2 linked regions of the Saccharomyces cerevisiae S288C genome follow. The protein of the gene in region 1 binds, or shares a complex with, the protein of each later gene. Each region holds a gene or a part of one and is shown in the gene's direction. Other genes may lie near its edges.

The links.
Region 2: the proteins of PIK1 (region 1) and FRQ1 are in contact, whole or in part, in an NMR structure (PDB 2JU0), measured with the Saccharomyces cerevisiae proteins. Residues at the interface, in NP_014132.1 of Saccharomyces cerevisiae: Ser122 (codon at 2,132), Tyr123 (codon at 2,135), Gly124 (codon at 2,138), Phe125 (codon at 2,141), Val127 (codon at 2,147), Ala128 (codon at 2,150), Val131 (codon at 2,159), Asn134 (codon at 2,168), Leu135 (codon at 2,171), Gln136 (codon at 2,174), Asn138 (codon at 2,180), Asn141 (codon at 2,189), Thr142 (codon at 2,192), Ser143 (codon at 2,195), Lys151 (codon at 2,219), Glu154 (codon at 2,228), Asn155 (codon at 2,231), Val156 (codon at 2,234), Ala157 (codon at 2,237), Pro158 (codon at 2,240), Ala159 (codon at 2,243), Leu160 (codon at 2,246), Val161 (codon at 2,249), Ser163 (codon at 2,255), Ser164 (codon at 2,258), Met165 (codon at 2,261), Met167 (codon at 2,267), Ser168 (codon at 2,270), Ile170 (codon at 2,276); in NP_010661.3 of Saccharomyces cerevisiae: Trp30 (codon at 5,045), Gly33 (codon at 5,054), Phe34 (codon at 5,057), Arg36 (codon at 5,063), Asp37 (codon at 5,066), Ile51 (codon at 5,108), Tyr52 (codon at 5,111), Phe55 (codon at 5,120), Phe56 (codon at 5,123), Phe64 (codon at 5,147), Phe72 (codon at 5,171), Phe85 (codon at 5,210), Leu89 (codon at 5,222), Thr92 (codon at 5,231), Ser93 (codon at 5,234), Arg94 (codon at 5,237), Lys100 (codon at 5,255), Leu107 (codon at 5,276), Tyr108 (codon at 5,279), Met132 (codon at 5,351), Ser134 (codon at 5,357), Met135 (codon at 5,360), Glu142 (codon at 5,381), Arg148 (codon at 5,399), Lys151 (codon at 5,408), Leu155 (codon at 5,420), Asp176 (codon at 5,483).

What each region holds. Positions count from the first base shown.
Region 1 is NC_001146.8:139,110-146,391, forward strand, and holds PIK1 (1-phosphatidylinositol 4-kinase), read left to right. Parts: upstream 1-1,768; coding exon 1,769-4,969; downstream 4,970-7,282. Other genes in the region: LYP1 (lysine permease), read left to right, coding at 1-1,276; IST1 (Ist1p), read right to left, coding at 5,171-6,040, 6,146-6,172; PDR17 (phosphatidylinositol transporter), read right to left, coding at 6,454-7,282. UniProt on the Saccharomyces cerevisiae protein: Acts on phosphatidylinositol (PI) in the first committed step in the production of the second messenger inositol 1,4,5,-trisphosphate. PIK1 is part of a nuclear phosphoinositide cycle and could control cytokinesis through the actin cytoskeleton.
Region 2 is NC_001136.10:1,217,802-1,227,623, forward strand, and holds FRQ1 (frequenin), read left to right. Parts: upstream 1-4,957; coding exon 4,958-5,530; downstream 5,531-9,822. Other genes in the region: DXO1 (Dxo1p), read right to left, coding at 1-1,309; CTS2 (putative chitinase), read left to right, coding at 1,612-3,147; VPS74 (Vps74p), read right to left, coding at 3,311-4,348; PHO92 (mRNA-binding phosphate metabolism regulator), read right to left, coding at 5,673-6,593; WIP1 (Wip1p), read left to right, coding at 6,956-7,225; bifunctional AAA family ATPase chaperone/translocase BCS1, read right to left, coding at 7,365-8,735; ARH1 (NADPH-adrenodoxin reductase), read left to right, coding at 9,021-9,822.

The sequences.
Region 1 (7,282 bases):
CGGTGTTTCTAACGGCTACATGTACTGGTTCAATTGGGCTATTACTTATGCTGTGGAGGTTTCTGTCATTGGCCAAGTTATTGAATACTGGACAGATAAAGTTCCATTAGCGGCCTGGATTGCGATATTCTGGGTAATTATTACTTTGATGAATTTTTTCCCTGTCAAAGTTTATGGTGAATTTGAGTTCTGGGTGGCCTCTGTTAAAGTTTTAGCCATTATGGGTTACTTGATATATGCTTTGATTATTGTCTGCGGTGGATCCCACCAGGGCCCTATCGGTTTCAGGTACTGGAGAAATCCAGGAGCCTGGGGGCCAGGCATCATCTCCAGTGATAAAAGTGAAGGCCGTTTTCTCGGATGGGTCTCCTCCTTGATTAATGCTGCATTTACGTACCAAGGTACTGAACTGGTTGGGATCACCGCTGGTGAAGCGGCTAACCCAAGAAAGACCGTTCCAAGAGCTATCAATAAAGTCGTCTTTAGAATCGTACTATTCTATATTATGTCTTTGTTCTTTATTGGTCTACTGGTTCCATACAACGATTCCCGTTTATCTGCTAGTTCTGCTGTTATTGCATCATCACCCTTCGTTATTTCCATTCAAAACGCTGGTACTTATGCTCTTCCAGATATTTTCAACGCCGTGGTGTTGATTACTGTTGTATCTGCCGCTAATTCGAATGTTTACGTTGGTTCCCGTGTTCTTTACTCTTTAGCTAGGACTGGTAACGCACCAAAGCAATTTGGATACGTCACCAGACAGGGTGTTCCATATCTCGGTGTTGTTTGCACTGCTGCATTGGGTCTTTTGGCATTCCTGGTTGTCAATAACAATGCAAACACTGCATTTAACTGGTTGATCAACATTTCCACTTTGGCTGGGTTATGCGCCTGGTTATTCATCTCTTTGGCACATATTAGGTTCATGCAAGCTTTAAAGCACCGTGGTATTTCTCGTGATGATCTGCCCTTCAAGGCCAAATTGATGCCTTATGGTGCCTACTACGCAGCCTTTTTTGTCACCGTCATCATATTCATCCAAGGGTTCCAAGCGTTCTGTCCGTTCAAAGTTTCTGAGTTTTTCACATCTTACATCTCCTTGATTCTTTTAGCCGTTGTGTTCATTGGTTGCCAGATATACTACAAATGCAGATTTATTTGGAAGCTAGAAGATATTGACATCGATTCCGACAGAAGAGAAATCGAAGCAATTATTTGGGAAGACGACGAGCCTAAGAATTTATGGGAGAAATTCTGGGCTGCTGTTGCATAGTCACAGAACCTCTTGCATGCCTTCAAAATAGAAAAAAATAAAAAAATAGACGTTTCATTAATCAAAATAGCCTGTAGAGATTTTGAGGGATTGCCCCAAACTTTATGTATAATATCACCACTTATTATTCACTATTCATAGTATGTTACATCATAAGGCCATTGTCACCTTCGGCCAGCGATAGTACTCAAATCTATAATAAATTTTCCATATTATCCTTTACGTACTTGATAGCGTGTATAACAGGGTCATTATTCACGATATGTTCAACTGTTGTCATTTTCGTGTTATTGCACTGAAACAAAAGAACCCTACCAAAAAATTCGTTAGAGAAAAACTAAAAGTACAAGATCTTATACTGAAGACCCTTCATTTTTTAGGCCCAACTTCTATATTAAGAAGATCCCTGGACCCTGCTAGAAATTTTCAATTAGCTTATCATTTTTCTTCATTGCGAGCGTTCGTTTTCATTAAGCATTCGTTCTCTTCACTATGCATAAAGCATCCAGTTCAAAGAAAAGCTTTGATGATACTATTGAACTAAAAAAAAATGAACAATTACTGAAACTGATCAACTCTAGTGAATTCACCCTTCACAATTGTGTGGAGTTACTGTGCAAACACTCCGAAAATATTGGTATACATTACTATTTATGTCAGAAATTGGCCACATTTCCTCACAGCGAACTACAGTTCTATATTCCCCAACTAGTACAGGTCCTCGTCACCATGGAGACAGAATCAATGGCTTTAGAAGATTTACTATTAAGGTTGAGGGCGGAAAACCCTCATTTTGCACTACTGACGTTTTGGCAGTTACAAGCGTTACTAACGGATTTATCTACTGACCCCGCTTCTTATGGCTTCCAAGTGGCTAGAAGAGTCTTAAACAACTTACAAACCAATCTCTTTAACACAAGTTCAGGTAGCGATAAAAATGTTAAAATACATGAAAACGTTGCACCGGCCTTAGTTCTTTCCTCTATGATAATGTCGGCTATAGCATTCCCCCAATTAAGCGAAGTGACCAAACCATTAGTGGAATCTCAAGGTAGAAGACAAAAAGCTTTCGTTTTTAAGTTGGCTAGAAGTGCAATGAAAGATTTTACCAAGAACATGACCTTGAAAAATACCCTACTAAACAAGAAAACTTCCAGATCCAAAAGAGTTAGCTCAAATCGCAGTTCAACTCCGACTTCTCCAATAGATTTAATAGATCCAATAAAAACTAAAGAAGATGCATCCTTCAGGAAATCCAGACATAGTGAGGTAAAATTGGATTTCGACATTGTGGATGATATAGGTAACCAGGTCTTTGAAGAAAGAATCTCATCTTCAATCAAACTCCCAAAACGTAAACCTAAGTATTTGGATAATTCATACGTTCATAGGACATATGATGGCAAAAATATAAACAGGGACGGAAGCATTTCAAATACCGCAAAGGCTCTCGATGGAAATAAAGGTGATTATATTTCTCCAAAGGGACGTAATGATGAAAATAATGAGATTGGTAACAATGAAGATGAAACTGGTGGTGAAACGGAGGAGGACGCGGACGCTTTAAACTCTGATCACTTCACCAGTTCTATGCCAGATCTGCATAATATTCAACCAAGGACTTCTTCTGCTTCATCTGCTTCTTTAGAAGGGACACCTAAGTTAAACAGGACCAATTCCCAACCCCTTTCGCGCCAGGCATTCAAAAACAGTAAAAAAGCGAATTCTTCTTTGAGTCAAGAAATTGACTTGTCGCAATTATCGACCACTTCAAAAATAAAAATGTTAAAAGCAAATTATTTTCGTTGCGAGACACAATTTGCCATTGCGCTAGAAACAATATCTCAAAGGCTAGCTCGAGTACCGACAGAAGCTAGATTGAGTGCCTTACGAGCCGAGTTGTTTCTATTAAACAGGGACCTACCAGCGGAAGTAGATATCCCCACTTTATTGCCTCCAAATAAAAAAGGAAAGTTACATAAATTAGTGACCATTACTGCTAATGAGGCACAAGTTTTGAACTCTGCAGAAAAAGTTCCATATTTACTCCTGATAGAATACTTGAGAGACGAATTTGATTTTGACCCAACAAGTGAAACCAATGAAAGATTATTAAAGAAGATCAGTGGTAATCAGGGAGGCTTGATATTTGATTTAAATTACATGAATAGAAAAGAAAACAACGAAAATAGAAATGAAAGTACTCTTACTAGCAACAACACTCGATCTTCGGTATATGATAGTAACTCGTTCAACAACGGGGCCTCCCGCAATGAAGGTCTATCCAGTACCTCAAGAAGTGATTCAGCGTCCACAGCTCATGTTAGGACTGAAGTCAATAAAGAGGAAGATTTAGGTGATATGTCAATGGTAAAAGTCAGGAACAGAACGGATGACGAAGCGTATAGAAATGCTTTAGTAATACAGAGTGCCGCAAATGTTCCAATTTTACCTGATGATAGTCAAGACAGAAGCCCAGAGTTGAACTTTGGCTCAAACTTGGACGAAGTACTCATCGAGAATGGAATTAATAGCAAAAATATACATAGCCAAACTGACGCTTTAGCAGACCAGATGAGAGTTTCAGCTGTTATGTTAGCACAATTGGATAAGTCGCCACAACAGTTATCAGAAAGTACCAAACAAATCCGCGCTCAAATTATTTCATCAATGAAGGAGGTGCAGGATAAATTTGGTTACCATGATTTGGAAGCCCTTCATGGAATGGCAGGTGAGAGAAAATTGGAAAACGATTTAATGACGGGTGGTATTGACACTTCATATCTAGGTGAAGATTGGGCTACCAAGAAAGAGAGGATACGTAAAACTTCGGAATATGGCCATTTCGAAAACTGGGATTTATGTTCTGTAATCGCCAAGACGGGTGATGATTTGAGACAGGAGGCGTTTGCATACCAGATGATTCAAGCGATGGCCAATATTTGGGTTAAAGAAAAAGTTGACGTTTGGGTTAAAAGAATGAAAATTTTAATTACTAGTGCGAATACGGGACTTGTGGAGACCATCACAAATGCTATGTCTGTGCATAGTATTAAAAAGGCTTTAACCAAAAAAATGATTGAAGATGCAGAACTAGATGACAAGGGTGGTATTGCCTCTTTGAATGATCACTTCCTTAGAGCTTTTGGTAATCCTAATGGATTTAAGTATAGAAGAGCACAAGACAACTTTGCTTCTTCGTTAGCCGCATATTCTGTCATTTGCTATCTCTTGCAGGTTAAAGATAGACACAACGGTAACATTATGATCGATAACGAAGGCCATGTAAGTCACATCGATTTTGGATTTATGCTATCAAATTCACCCGGCTCAGTGGGCTTTGAGGCCGCACCATTCAAATTAACTTACGAATATATTGAACTGCTAGGCGGAGTAGAGGGAGAAGCGTTTAAAAAGTTTGTTGAACTAACTAAAAGTTCGTTCAAGGCTCTGAGAAAGTATGCTGATCAAATCGTATCAATGTGTGAGATTATGCAAAAGGACAATATGCAGCCTTGTTTCGATGCTGGCGAACAAACAAGTGTACAACTACGACAAAGGTTCCAATTGGACTTATCAGAAAAAGAAGTTGATGACTTCGTAGAAAATTTCTTGATAGGTAAATCTTTGGGTAGTATTTACACCAGAATATACGACCAATTTCAACTTATTACACAGGGTATATATAGCTGAGAAGGAAAATAGCTGTGACAGAACTGGAAAAACAATTTGCAAATGTCCGGAGAACAAAAAAATTGGAATTTTAGTAAAAGGAATATACATATATTTATTTATTGCCGAGAATAATAGAGCAGCTGACTCAGAAAAAGCAAGGTAAAAGAATGAGAGTAAAATAAATATGTGGTTAATTAACCATACATATAAATTATTATCTTATTTTCTGCGTAAAGCGTCAAACCGTTTCTTCAACTCATCTAGTTCATCATTTTCTTGCTCCTTCTTAGTCTTTCTTTTTGTAGTTTTCTTTTCTGATTGTTTCTTTTCGATCACTTCCTTTTTGATATCTTTCGGAATCTTGAGCTCGTTCTTGATATTTTCACTATTCTGCCTAGGCTTTTTAACAGTGATAGGGTGTTTAGCATCTGCATTGTCATTATCGTCATTATCTAAGGCTAAAATAGGCTTTTCTTCGTCATTATCCTCGATATCTCCCGAGGGGTCACTAAAGTCTGAAGAAATGTTAGAAGACGACGAAGATAAGGAATTCTCCAGCTTACTATATGGCACATCGTATGTTTTCGCGATTTCCTTCAAATAAAGATCAACTAGTTCTTCTTTTGGAACTGAGGGAGAGCATTTTTTTATAATCTTTTCAGGGACATCGATATGATCTGCTATTACTCCATTAACAAACTCAACGTTTATTTTCCAGGCCATCAAATCTTTCAATTGGCTAAGTTCTTTGACTTCATCAACGAAAAGAATCGCATAGATTAGGGATCTGATAGCTTCGTTAATACCATCATCCATATGCTCTTTGACAAGCTGTTCCTCGGTGGAGATATCGTTTATTACCTGCACTCTAGCCAGTAGTAATTCACAATATAGTTCCAATATCTCTAGTAGCTCAATATGAATATCGTCATGAATTAGCGTCTCCACACGATAATGCGCCTTCTGTTCTTTATTTGTCAGTAACAGTTGTGCAACCTGTCTTCGAGACTGCTTTGCAATCGCCTGTTGCTTTTCTTGAGCATATCTTAACCTTTGAATACACATTTTCAGGCATGTTTTAAGCTTGATCTATAACAATAATTTGGATGATAGTTTTACCCTTCTTCAGTTAGTACATCCTAGATCTTTTGCATACTAAAGCTTTTTAAAAATTACTATAAAATATAAACATACAGTGAACGGAATCATTGACGGAGCCATTTTTAGTTGTCGTATTCTCTTATCTATCTTCTATGTTGACTAGTTCTGATTGATTAGCTGGAACTAATAGTATATATAATTTTCACACCCTTTGGAATTCAGAAGGCGTTTTTTTTTTCATGAAACAAAACAATAGAGTGCGGATAGCCGATTCAGTTGATTCTAAAAGTATATAAAATGCGATAAGCGCATAAGCAGCCATTATAAACGTACATCTGAGTCTAGATATATACGTTTGTGTAGCGGGAAACGTTAAAAAAAAAAATCTTAATTATAGTTTATCAAATGACCATATCAACAGGATATTTTAATTCGTCATGTTGGCCCTTGGTGTCATATTCACTTAATCCGACAATGCCTCCAAACTTTAAAAATCTATCAAAACGTTTCAATCGTAAATCGTCAACTTTCTTAACCATATCTGGCCAATAGACTTCATGTTTATACTTGAAGTCTAACAGACCATTGTATAGAGCATCTAGTTGAGATGGCTCTATGTGGTTTTCAAATGGTTCGTCAAAGATAGCCTTCGCCTTAGTGGCAGGGTCAAGGAACGGATACATCATCTTCAAAAAAGCCCACGCAAACCATGGGATATTGATCAGGACACACTTAGCTAACCTTTCAGGGTAATGATCTTGCATGACGTTCAAACACATCCTAGCAATAGAGATGGGTGGAGCTTTATCAGTGATAATACCAGGTTCTTTATAACTTTTGAAATCTACCAAGACTGTGATCTTTTCTACACCTTGGGGAGCTACAGTTGTCGCAGTTTCCATCATGTAGACTAATTCTTGGACTTGTCTAAAGGAAGATTCTGTGTTTTGACGACCATTTTTCATGTAGTATAGAGGTCTTTTAGCGTTGTCAAAGCCCAAAATAACCTGTTTACCAGTTTCGTTCTCAACGGCAACTTTGTCAGCTGTTAAAGGGTCTTTGTCCTCCTTACCATGTGTAAGTCCAATTTCTCTCCTCCATACCAAGGTTTTGGTGAGACCTTTTATGGCGTTCGCGGTGTTCCATTTATTGGCTCTTAGGTATCTTAGAAAACACTCCCTAGAAAGCCAAAACTTCTCCCAATCACTCAAGGGTCTGTCATTGGCATGT
Region 2 (9,822 bases), on another chromosome or scaffold:
CGTTTCTTGGAGTAGTCTTAAGTTTAGTGATGACGATGGCGTTGTTAGTATCTATACCGATTTCAAATGATTCTGGTTTTGTACTGCTATAGTCAGAGATATTTGCCTCCACCAGCTTACAAATTGCTTCAATACAATAATGACACCATTCTACCGCAATTTGGGCATTATAGTTAAGTTCCTTTTTATTTGTAGGTAGACCTGGGTGATTGAATTTCTTACATAATAAGTCCCTTGAGTACCATTGAATGTCTAGTAATTGACCGCTATGACTGTCCCTCAAACCTATCATGATATCTGAGTTCGGTAATAAACCCGTCTGTACCCACGTTTTCAGAAGTTTTCTCCTATGATTGGAATTGTGCATTGATAATGGGGCAAAACACTTTAGTTCTGTGTTTGTCTCCGAAACAGGATTGAATGCATCCATTTCGCAGCGAATTAAAAGACCAATTTCTTCTGAAAGTTTACTCTCTACAAGAGAAAAAATAGGACATTTAGAGCCAGTTAAATCAGCGACTTTGGAATTTTCGGTTACCCAATTTTCAAATTCAAATCCTGAATAGCAAATTTTCTTCATATTTGGATCATTTGAATAAATGCCCTCTTTGGACATTTGAGAATCTTTTTTTACATTTCTGCAAAATGAAAGAAGGCCCGCCCCCATATAAGTTACAATTAGTGACGTTTGTCTATTTCGCCTGTTAAAGAGATGCATAGTCAAATCTACGATATGATGTCTTGTGGTTACAACAGTAAATTTCTTGCCGATCTTAAAATCCTTACCAGGATTATCTAGTATCCAGTTCTCAATGTATGAAAAACACGGTGATACACTATCTAATTCGGATATTGTCATGGGAACGAACTCATCAATATTAGCAAATAAGTCATGGCCTAAATACGGGACTTTCCGCTTTTTTGCCTCAAGAAGCGAGCTTTCATACAATTCAGCAATACTTTCTTTCAAATTTGGTATAAGGTCTTTGCGTAGGATTGTATAAGCCCGGCCATTGGTAAACAGAGCTACTTCTTTACTTTCATGAAATATATCTCTTGGTGGTTTCGTCAAAAAATTGTGCATACCAGTATGCAGAAAAGACGTATATGGGATACATATAAGTTTCGGACGTCTCTTTCTATAATTGTCTCTCTGTTGTGAAGGCTTCCTTGACGAAGATGAATCAGAAGTAGTTTTCTCTTTGCATAATTTACTTTGGTGTCCTCTCTCGAGATTGGGCACAGTAAGCAAATTTATACCTTCTAAATCTTTGGCCAATCCAAGAACAGCATCTTGTTCAGTTGACATAACTGAGTTTGGCTAGAAAGAAAACTTTGACATAAAATCATCGATACCTACAACTGGCGCTGTAATGCAACAATGCCATTATAAAAGTAAAACATGCTGCGAAAATTGCGGAAAAACTGGAAAAATCAATAGTGGGGTAATCCCAGTTAGTTTGACACAATAATTTGGTGATTTTGGTGGAATAATCATTATTTGTGAGGATACACCAACGAAAAGAACCTTTTGTGGTAGTATGGTCCAACAATTGTATTTGCAGGTTGGTACTAACAACCTCTATAAGTAGACGATACAAGAGTGATCATATGGTAGGACACTCAGCTCAGCACAGATCAAAAAGCAGCTTAGTGTCTCACCTACTAATACTACTTATCTTTATAACGATTATTATTGAAATGTGTTTATATAATAAAATTTTTAAGAACCAAAGGTCGGATGATATTAGAGACAACTTTAACAATGGCGGACATCGAGTTCCCAGTAATGTCCAAAATCATGGAACCCATATAAGAGACGAAGCCTTTATATCAGGGGTCTATTATTCCAATTGGTCCCCATACAAACCGAGGTTTCATTTCCCTCACGACATAAACTTGAAGCAAGTGTCTCACATTTACTATGCATTTTTCAAAATAAACTCTAGAACTGGTGGTATAGAAAACACGGATAGTTGGTCTGATCTAGAAATGAATTTGTATAAATCGCTGGCAATTAAAAATTCAGAACTAATTAAAGAAAGCTCGAACAATAGTGTCCAAAACATCCTACCCTTAGGTTGCATTGGTGAACTATTTTATTTGAAGAATACCTGTTCTGATAAGAAATTTAAAGTTATCATGTCAATTGGGGGCTGGTCTGATAGTGAAAATTTCAAAATCATAATTAAAGATGATAAACTCTTACAAAATTTTGTTGATTCGTCGGTGGAAACAATGTTCAGATTAGGATTTGATGGCATTGATCTAGACTGGGAGTTCCCTGGTAACAATGAATCAGAACCTCGCGGATATCTGAAACTGGTCAGAATGCTGCGATTAAAACTAAACAGCCTCGAATCCCAAATATTTGGGAAACGTACTGAAGATCATTTTCAATTATCTATTGCGGCACCTGCATTCAAGGATAAATTATTTTACTTGCCAATCACAGAAATTGATCAATATGTTGACTACTGGAATATGATGACGTACGATTATTATGGCTCGTGGTCAGAAACAACAGGATATCACAGCAATCTATTCAGTGAGACGGAATTGAATGGAAACTTTGCCATGCATTATATGATCGATAGATTTGGCGTCAATTCTAGAAAATTAGTACTGGGAATGGCCGCCTACGGAAGAAGTTTCCATATCAAAGATAACAAATTCGAACCATTCAATCAAAATACTGTATTAATTAACAAAATTTTCAAAGGAGTGGGCAAGCCCACTAAAGAAATAGATAAAGCTGATGGCAAGGAGGGCATCTGGCCTTACAAAAATTTACCAAAGATTGGTACAATAGAACAATACGATCCAAAATATGTTTCAGCATATTGCTTTGATGAAAAAAATTCAATATTTATCAGTTATGATAACACTAAATCAGTCAAAACTAAGGCTGAATATGTGACACATAACAATTTAGGCGGAGGCTTTTGGTGGGAGTCATGTGGTGAAGCTTATGCAAATGAGTCAAGGTCGTTGATAAACGCATTTAATGAAGGCTTGCACTTTAATGTGTCATCAAAACCATCAATATTTCAAGATGTGAGAGTTAAAAAATATTACTTGAATAAATATGGCGATGGCGGATTTTTATCTCCATATTTAAAGCATTTGGATTCAAGAAAGCAATGAATACGAATGTGGGCGTATATAATAACAAAAAGTTTGGTCTATTTATTATCCACTCCGTATATGTATATACATATATACAAATTTCGTTTATTAATGTTAGAGGCTTATAAAAAAAAGCTTGACTTTTCCTTATGTTTCAAAGAGAGGATTTTTGTTGTTATTTTCATAATAGCATATCCATTCTTGAAAAGACTTCAAATACACCAGCAATAACTTCCAATTGTAAATCATGACCAGGATTGTTTTCTATCTCTTCTTTAACTTCCTTGTTTAAATTAACGGAGACACCTAACTCAGTTTCCTTTTCTAAATCAAATGGGTATTGCGAAAATTGTGCCATTATTTCTTCAGCTCTACTAATTGCCTTATCTCTCTTCTCATATTCCAACGTAGTCAGGACATTCTCCAATACGTTTGCCCCATATGATCCACATATTAAAGCTAAAGTTCTAATGATTTTGAAAGATGTTGTCTCCGGAAAATATTCATTGTAACTTAATTCCATGTTCCTCGATACGAGTACAGAAAGTACTCTGCGCTTAATGGCTTCTTTGCAGCTGGCGTCTGCAATGGGGTGTGTCGCCATGTCAAACAAAAAGAAATTTTTCATTTCTGTTCTCAATACACCTTTATCGACCAAACCTTTTGCCAATCTTTCCCTTACTTGTTTCAATTGATAGTTGATCTTTAAAAGGTTCCATGTTTCACCACTTAAAAGATCAATCCAGTTAGAAATTGACAAAGGTTCGTCGTTTTTCATCAATTGCAAAGTTTCATCCAGTAAAACTTCCCCAGTTTTGGAACTGTCAATAACTTCAATCAACCTTTCGGAAAGATCGAACCTTTTCCTGGCGGAATCATCTAAGATTCTGATTTTACCTCTTAACGCTAATTCTATAATTATACAACCACGCAAAGCATATGAAATACTATCATTCCAAAACGACAAATATCCTTCTCTATCTCTTAAGCCCATCAATAAGACTTCTTCCATCAACGTTAACGTAGGGATATTGATGTTGTCTCTCAATTTCGATTCTTCTGGGTCATATGCAATCTTTTTGTTTGTTCCATTGTCATCATCCCCGTCAACAGCAATATTTGCGATTTTGTCTCCTTTGGTATTGTTAGCAGAAGAATGAATGGAGGAAGTATCTCCAGAATCCGCCCTATTGACTCTACGACGTTGTAAAGTAGACATGATTTTTGCTTTGTATTTTTTTAGATAGTTTTTGTTTGAATTCTTTTACGTTATCAGATCAAAAGTTGTAATGAAAATATAGCCAACAATGAAACTGCTAATTTAGCTCTATTTGTTAGCGTGGAAATTTGAAATTTATTTTTAATCTATAAATGCAGCAGCCCAAACCGAAACAAAAGAATAAGTGAGTTGAACAGAGTAAGCAACGGGCCGATATAGAACTGAAAAAGTCAACGTACCCAGAAAGCAATTAACTGCGACACAAATAGATGTCAATGTCCAAAAAGGATAGATAAACAAGATTACGATCCAAGGCAGGGATCTAATTGTTTTTAGGTAAATGCGTACCCATTAGCCTCTTTTTTTCAGTAGTAGTTGACTGCTCAGGAAGTAAAAAAATGAGCCAGAATTGATCATTAAAAACGAAAAAAGGGTAACTCTTCGGTGTATTTTTTATTATTATACCATAGAGTACTGAAATAATGTTTAATTTGTCAACGATTGAACTGATGAACTAGGGATATTACCTCCTGTTTTATAATTGTTGCTAGTTTAAGAATCGGCGAGAGTTATTTTGTGCTTGAAAACTGTTTTTGATTCAAAAAAAAAATGGGAGCCAAGACGTCAAAGCTTTCCAAAGATGACCTGACATGTTTGAAACAATCCACCTATTTTGATAGAAGAGAAATCCAGCAATGGCATAAAGGATTTTTGAGGGATTGCCCTAGTGGCCAACTAGCTAGGGAAGATTTTGTTAAGATATACAAACAGTTTTTTCCATTTGGTTCTCCTGAAGATTTTGCTAATCACCTTTTTACAGTTTTTGATAAAGACAACAATGGATTCATACATTTTGAAGAGTTTATCACAGTTTTGAGTACAACGTCCAGAGGAACTTTGGAGGAAAAACTGAGCTGGGCTTTCGAACTTTATGATTTGAACCATGATGGATATATTACATTTGATGAAATGCTAACCATTGTGGCGAGTGTTTATAAAATGATGGGGTCTATGGTTACACTTAATGAGGATGAGGCAACGCCCGAAATGAGGGTAAAGAAGATCTTCAAGTTGATGGATAAGAACGAAGATGGTTACATTACGCTGGACGAATTCAGAGAAGGTTCTAAAGTCGATCCCTCTATTATTGGTGCCTTAAACCTTTACGATGGCTTAATATGAAAACTTTGTTTTTGCTTCTTATGGATTGGATGTTATAACAGTAGAAGTAATTTTAGGATAATTTTAAATAAAAATAATATTAAAAATAATAATAATACTAATAATAAATGAGAATAAAATGTTGATAAATGAGGGATAAGGTCTATTCATACGTCTCATCCAAGAAGGAGAAAATATCAGAATCTTGAGTTTTAAATAGATTAATTATTGAAATTCCAATCGAATATGGAATTTCTTGAGTATCTCTGGAATGTGTTATCGGTTTCATTTCATTGGATGGTATCAAAAACCTTTTTAACGATCTGTTATTTATATCACGCACGATCACCCATCTTACTTTAAAGGCTTTGCCATATTTTTGTTCATCTTCCCATATACTGGTGTCCAAATCCATTTTCAAATCCGATACCATTTCTGCAACGCCACAGAATCTTCCTGATGTGTTGATTGAAAAAAATAAAAACACTTTGGCTCCCGAATTAAGCTTTTTATATGCCTCAGATAGCCTTTTGTTGCCGAAATGAGTAGACGACCAAATTCCGTTGTAAAACGACCTTTTGACATGCTTCAAAGACGAGGACTTTATTACAAAAAATCTTGAGTTTTCTGGAATATTTAACCAAGGGGGAATAATTGCAGCACTTTTTCTTTTATTAATTTCATTGAAAGTTTGTTCTTTAGTTGACTGCTGCAAATACCTTGGTTTGGATAAATATTCCCTGTAATAATTATTATTGCTATTATCAGATTGGTTGTAGTCTCTAGAAAAGGAGAAATGCCGATTTAAATTTGAGCTTGTCAATGGAATACTATTAATCTGGTGTGTATAGTTTTCATGAGTGATCTCTTCTTTATTTTCTTTCTTGTTAATATCATTTAAAGCTGTGACATCGTTCTTTAGCTTTGGGTTTGTTTGTACTTCAATATGAGTTCTCTCCAAGGAATGGATCAACCCATCTAGTTCTCTTAAAGAGTCTTCAATTGTCCTGTCATTTCTCTTATTTTCTTTCCATTCAGAGTTGAAGTAAAAATTTGGGGGACCTGTAGACCAGATTTGATTCATTTTTAGAGCACAACGCAATACTTACGTCACACCAGCCGTAGACGATATCTTCCTTTCTTAACGAAATAGTAACAGAGGACACAATCTGAAAACTTCTTTTGCGATTCATAACCAACAGAAAATTTTGGAGGAAAACAATGTAGCTGTATAAATATATATATATATATATGTATGTATACTTATTTATTTATATATATATCACAAAAGGCTACCAAAAAGATTAGCCGCCGAGGTACATCGTGAGGAGTGATATTCTGGGGAAACGGGTAGCGATTTCGTGTCTATTTTCGGTCACCAAGTCAACGTTACTTACTGTCGTATAACCAAAGTACAACAATAGCAACAGTTCCTAACATTCTTCCATGGATACGGAAGCATTGGCCAATTATTTGCTACGGCAGCTTAGTTTAGATGCGGAGGAGAATAAGCTAGAAGATCTTCTCCAACGGCAAAATGAAGATCAAGAGTCTAGTCAAGAATATAACAAGAAATTATTATTGGCATGTGGATTTCAGGCCATTTTAAGAAAAATTCTGCTGGATGCTAGAACAAGGGCAACTGCAGAAGGTTTGAGGGAAGTATATCCTTATCATATTGAAGCTGCAACGCAGGCTTTTCTGGATAGTCAATGAAGGGGTATTTTTAAGCCTCTTTATCATATACTCTTTTGTTCGTAATAGCAAATAACTCGGTCTTATTAACGAGAAAAAGTTAAAGCATCTTCTGAATTTTTATTATATACAAGTTATGTAGTAAGGCGCCACTTAGCACCTAGAAAATATGATTAGCGTTCCGTAAGCTGGAGACCATTTTCAACGCATCGTGTGGTGCATCTTTATTCATAACGAAAAGTCCTTGCAACTGGGCGGTACTTACGGTGATATCCAATTCTTTAACACTATTTACAAACTTTTTGCATATATCAGTCTCACCTGGGTAAAATTTCATAAACATTTTTTCTACCTGGTATGGAGTTGCGTTACCAACGAAGACTTTGTAGTCAATACGACCTGGTCTCATTATAGCCGCGTCTAGCTTTTCAGGATGATTGGTAGTCATGAATGTAATAGTTTCTTCAGAAGATGTGACGCCATCCAGGGCATTCAGTAAACCGCTAAATGTTACGCTAGAATGAAAACCTTGTTCACCAGTTTGACTTCTTTTGTTGAACGCCGCGTCAATATCTTCCAGTAATAGTATGCTCCTTTCTGGCATGTTATTCATTAAGTGGTTTAATCTGTCATCTGTTAAATTATTTTCGGAGAGGTTTAAAATACAAATGTTGTAGTCTAATTCGCCCGCTAAAGCCTGGATAAAGCTAGTCTTACCAGATCCGGGAGGGCCATAGAGTAAATATCCCCTGCGATATGGGATACCCCTGTCAGAGTACCATTTGCCGTTCTTCATAAAATCATAAACGTCATCGAGAATACCCTCTTTGATGCCACTGTCCAAAATGACGGAGGGCAGCATCCTTTTAGCTTTTGGTTGACCAAACTTTCTCCATTCAGGGCCGAAAGAAGTGTAAATAACAGTCTTGCCCTCAGTAGTCTTCAGGGCTATGTCTTTAGCCTCGTTCAAAATGTCATCGAACAAATGTTTGTCACGGTACAGTGTAGTTAAGGTTACGGTCTCAAATGGTGACCCGTTTGCGATATCTATCATTTTTGCGGACCTTTCTCTTTTAATCAGGATAAAAGCACCCTTATAACGAATCCAATGATTTCCCGGACCCGGAACCAGCGAAAATTTTGTACTAACTGATCCATTGTCATGTTGTATGTAGTTTGTCCTAACGGATAAGTGTCTAGATACCCTTTGAGGATGTTTGGCCATCCATGTTAGAAACCAGGCGTATGATTTGTCCTTCGACTGAATCTCTAAGTCGACAATCATTTGTCGGTATAGGACCCTGCTGGCTTTTATTATACCGGATCTAGCTACAGCTAAACCTGTACCAAGGATCATAAGACCACCGCCGGCGGCAAAATAGGGATTGTTTGACATAGCATCGCCAACTAGTTTTGAAAGTTTTTCCCGGACTGAGTCATTACCAGTTTCATTTGTTGGCGGAGTAATTACACCACTCAGATTTGGAGTAGCCTGTTTATCATATTGTATGTCAATCGGCTTATCCGACATGGTAGATTGAGGGCACACTTCATTTTTTTTCAAATCGTCCCTTGGTACGTCTACTGCGTTGCAAATATAGAAGAGTGGAAATCTTTACTTATACTATTTACATCGATTTTTCGGCACTCTTTAAGGGTAACTCAATCGAGATATAATTCGAAGAGCAGTAAACTATAGCTCGAACGTAACAGAAAGTTTTTTGCTTGCTATAGTTCTTGGCCACAACGCCTCATTCATTCATTTAGAAAGTTTCTCACTCTTTCTTCTTCCTTTTTTAGCTCATTACTTGTGAAAATGAGCTTTGTTCAAATAAGGCACATTTCTTCACAAATAAACCGTAAGACTGTATCCATTGTTGGATCGGGGCCTTCCGGCTTTTATACAGCGTACCATTTACTCAAGAAGTCACCGATTCCATTAAATGTTACTATATGGGAAAAGTTACCTGTTCCTTTTGGTTTAAGTAGATATGGTGTGGCACCTGATCATCCAGAAGTCAAAAATTGTGAAGAAACGTTTACCACATGTGCAGAAGAGTTTTCTTCCCCTACAAACCAAAAGCATAAATTTTCCTTTGTTGGTGGTATAACCATTGGAAAAGAAATATTGTTGAAGGAATTGCTGGATAATCAAGATGCTGTTATTTTAAGTTATGGTTGTACAGGGGACAGAAAGCTGAATATCCCTGGCGAACTCGGAACAAAAGGGGTGTTTAGCAGTAGAGAATTTGTCAATTGGTACAATGGTCATCCTGATTTCGCAAAGGATAAGCGATTTACCGATTTTGACTGGAGCAAAGTTTCGAAAGTTGGTATTATAGGAAACGGTAACGTTGCTCTTGATATTACGCGTGTACTTATTTCTAATCAAATTGATGAAATATGGGAAAATACGGACATCTCATCTCTTGCACTAAATTTGCTAAGAAGGGCACCTGTAAAGGACGTTAAGCTAATTGCACGAAGGGATTTCGTTCATTCCAAATTCACCAACAAAGAATTAAGAGAACTATGGGAGTTAGAAAAGTATGGCATACGTGGCCGTATTGATCCTAAATTTTTCCAGAAAGAAATGTTTGACCCATCTAAGTACGATC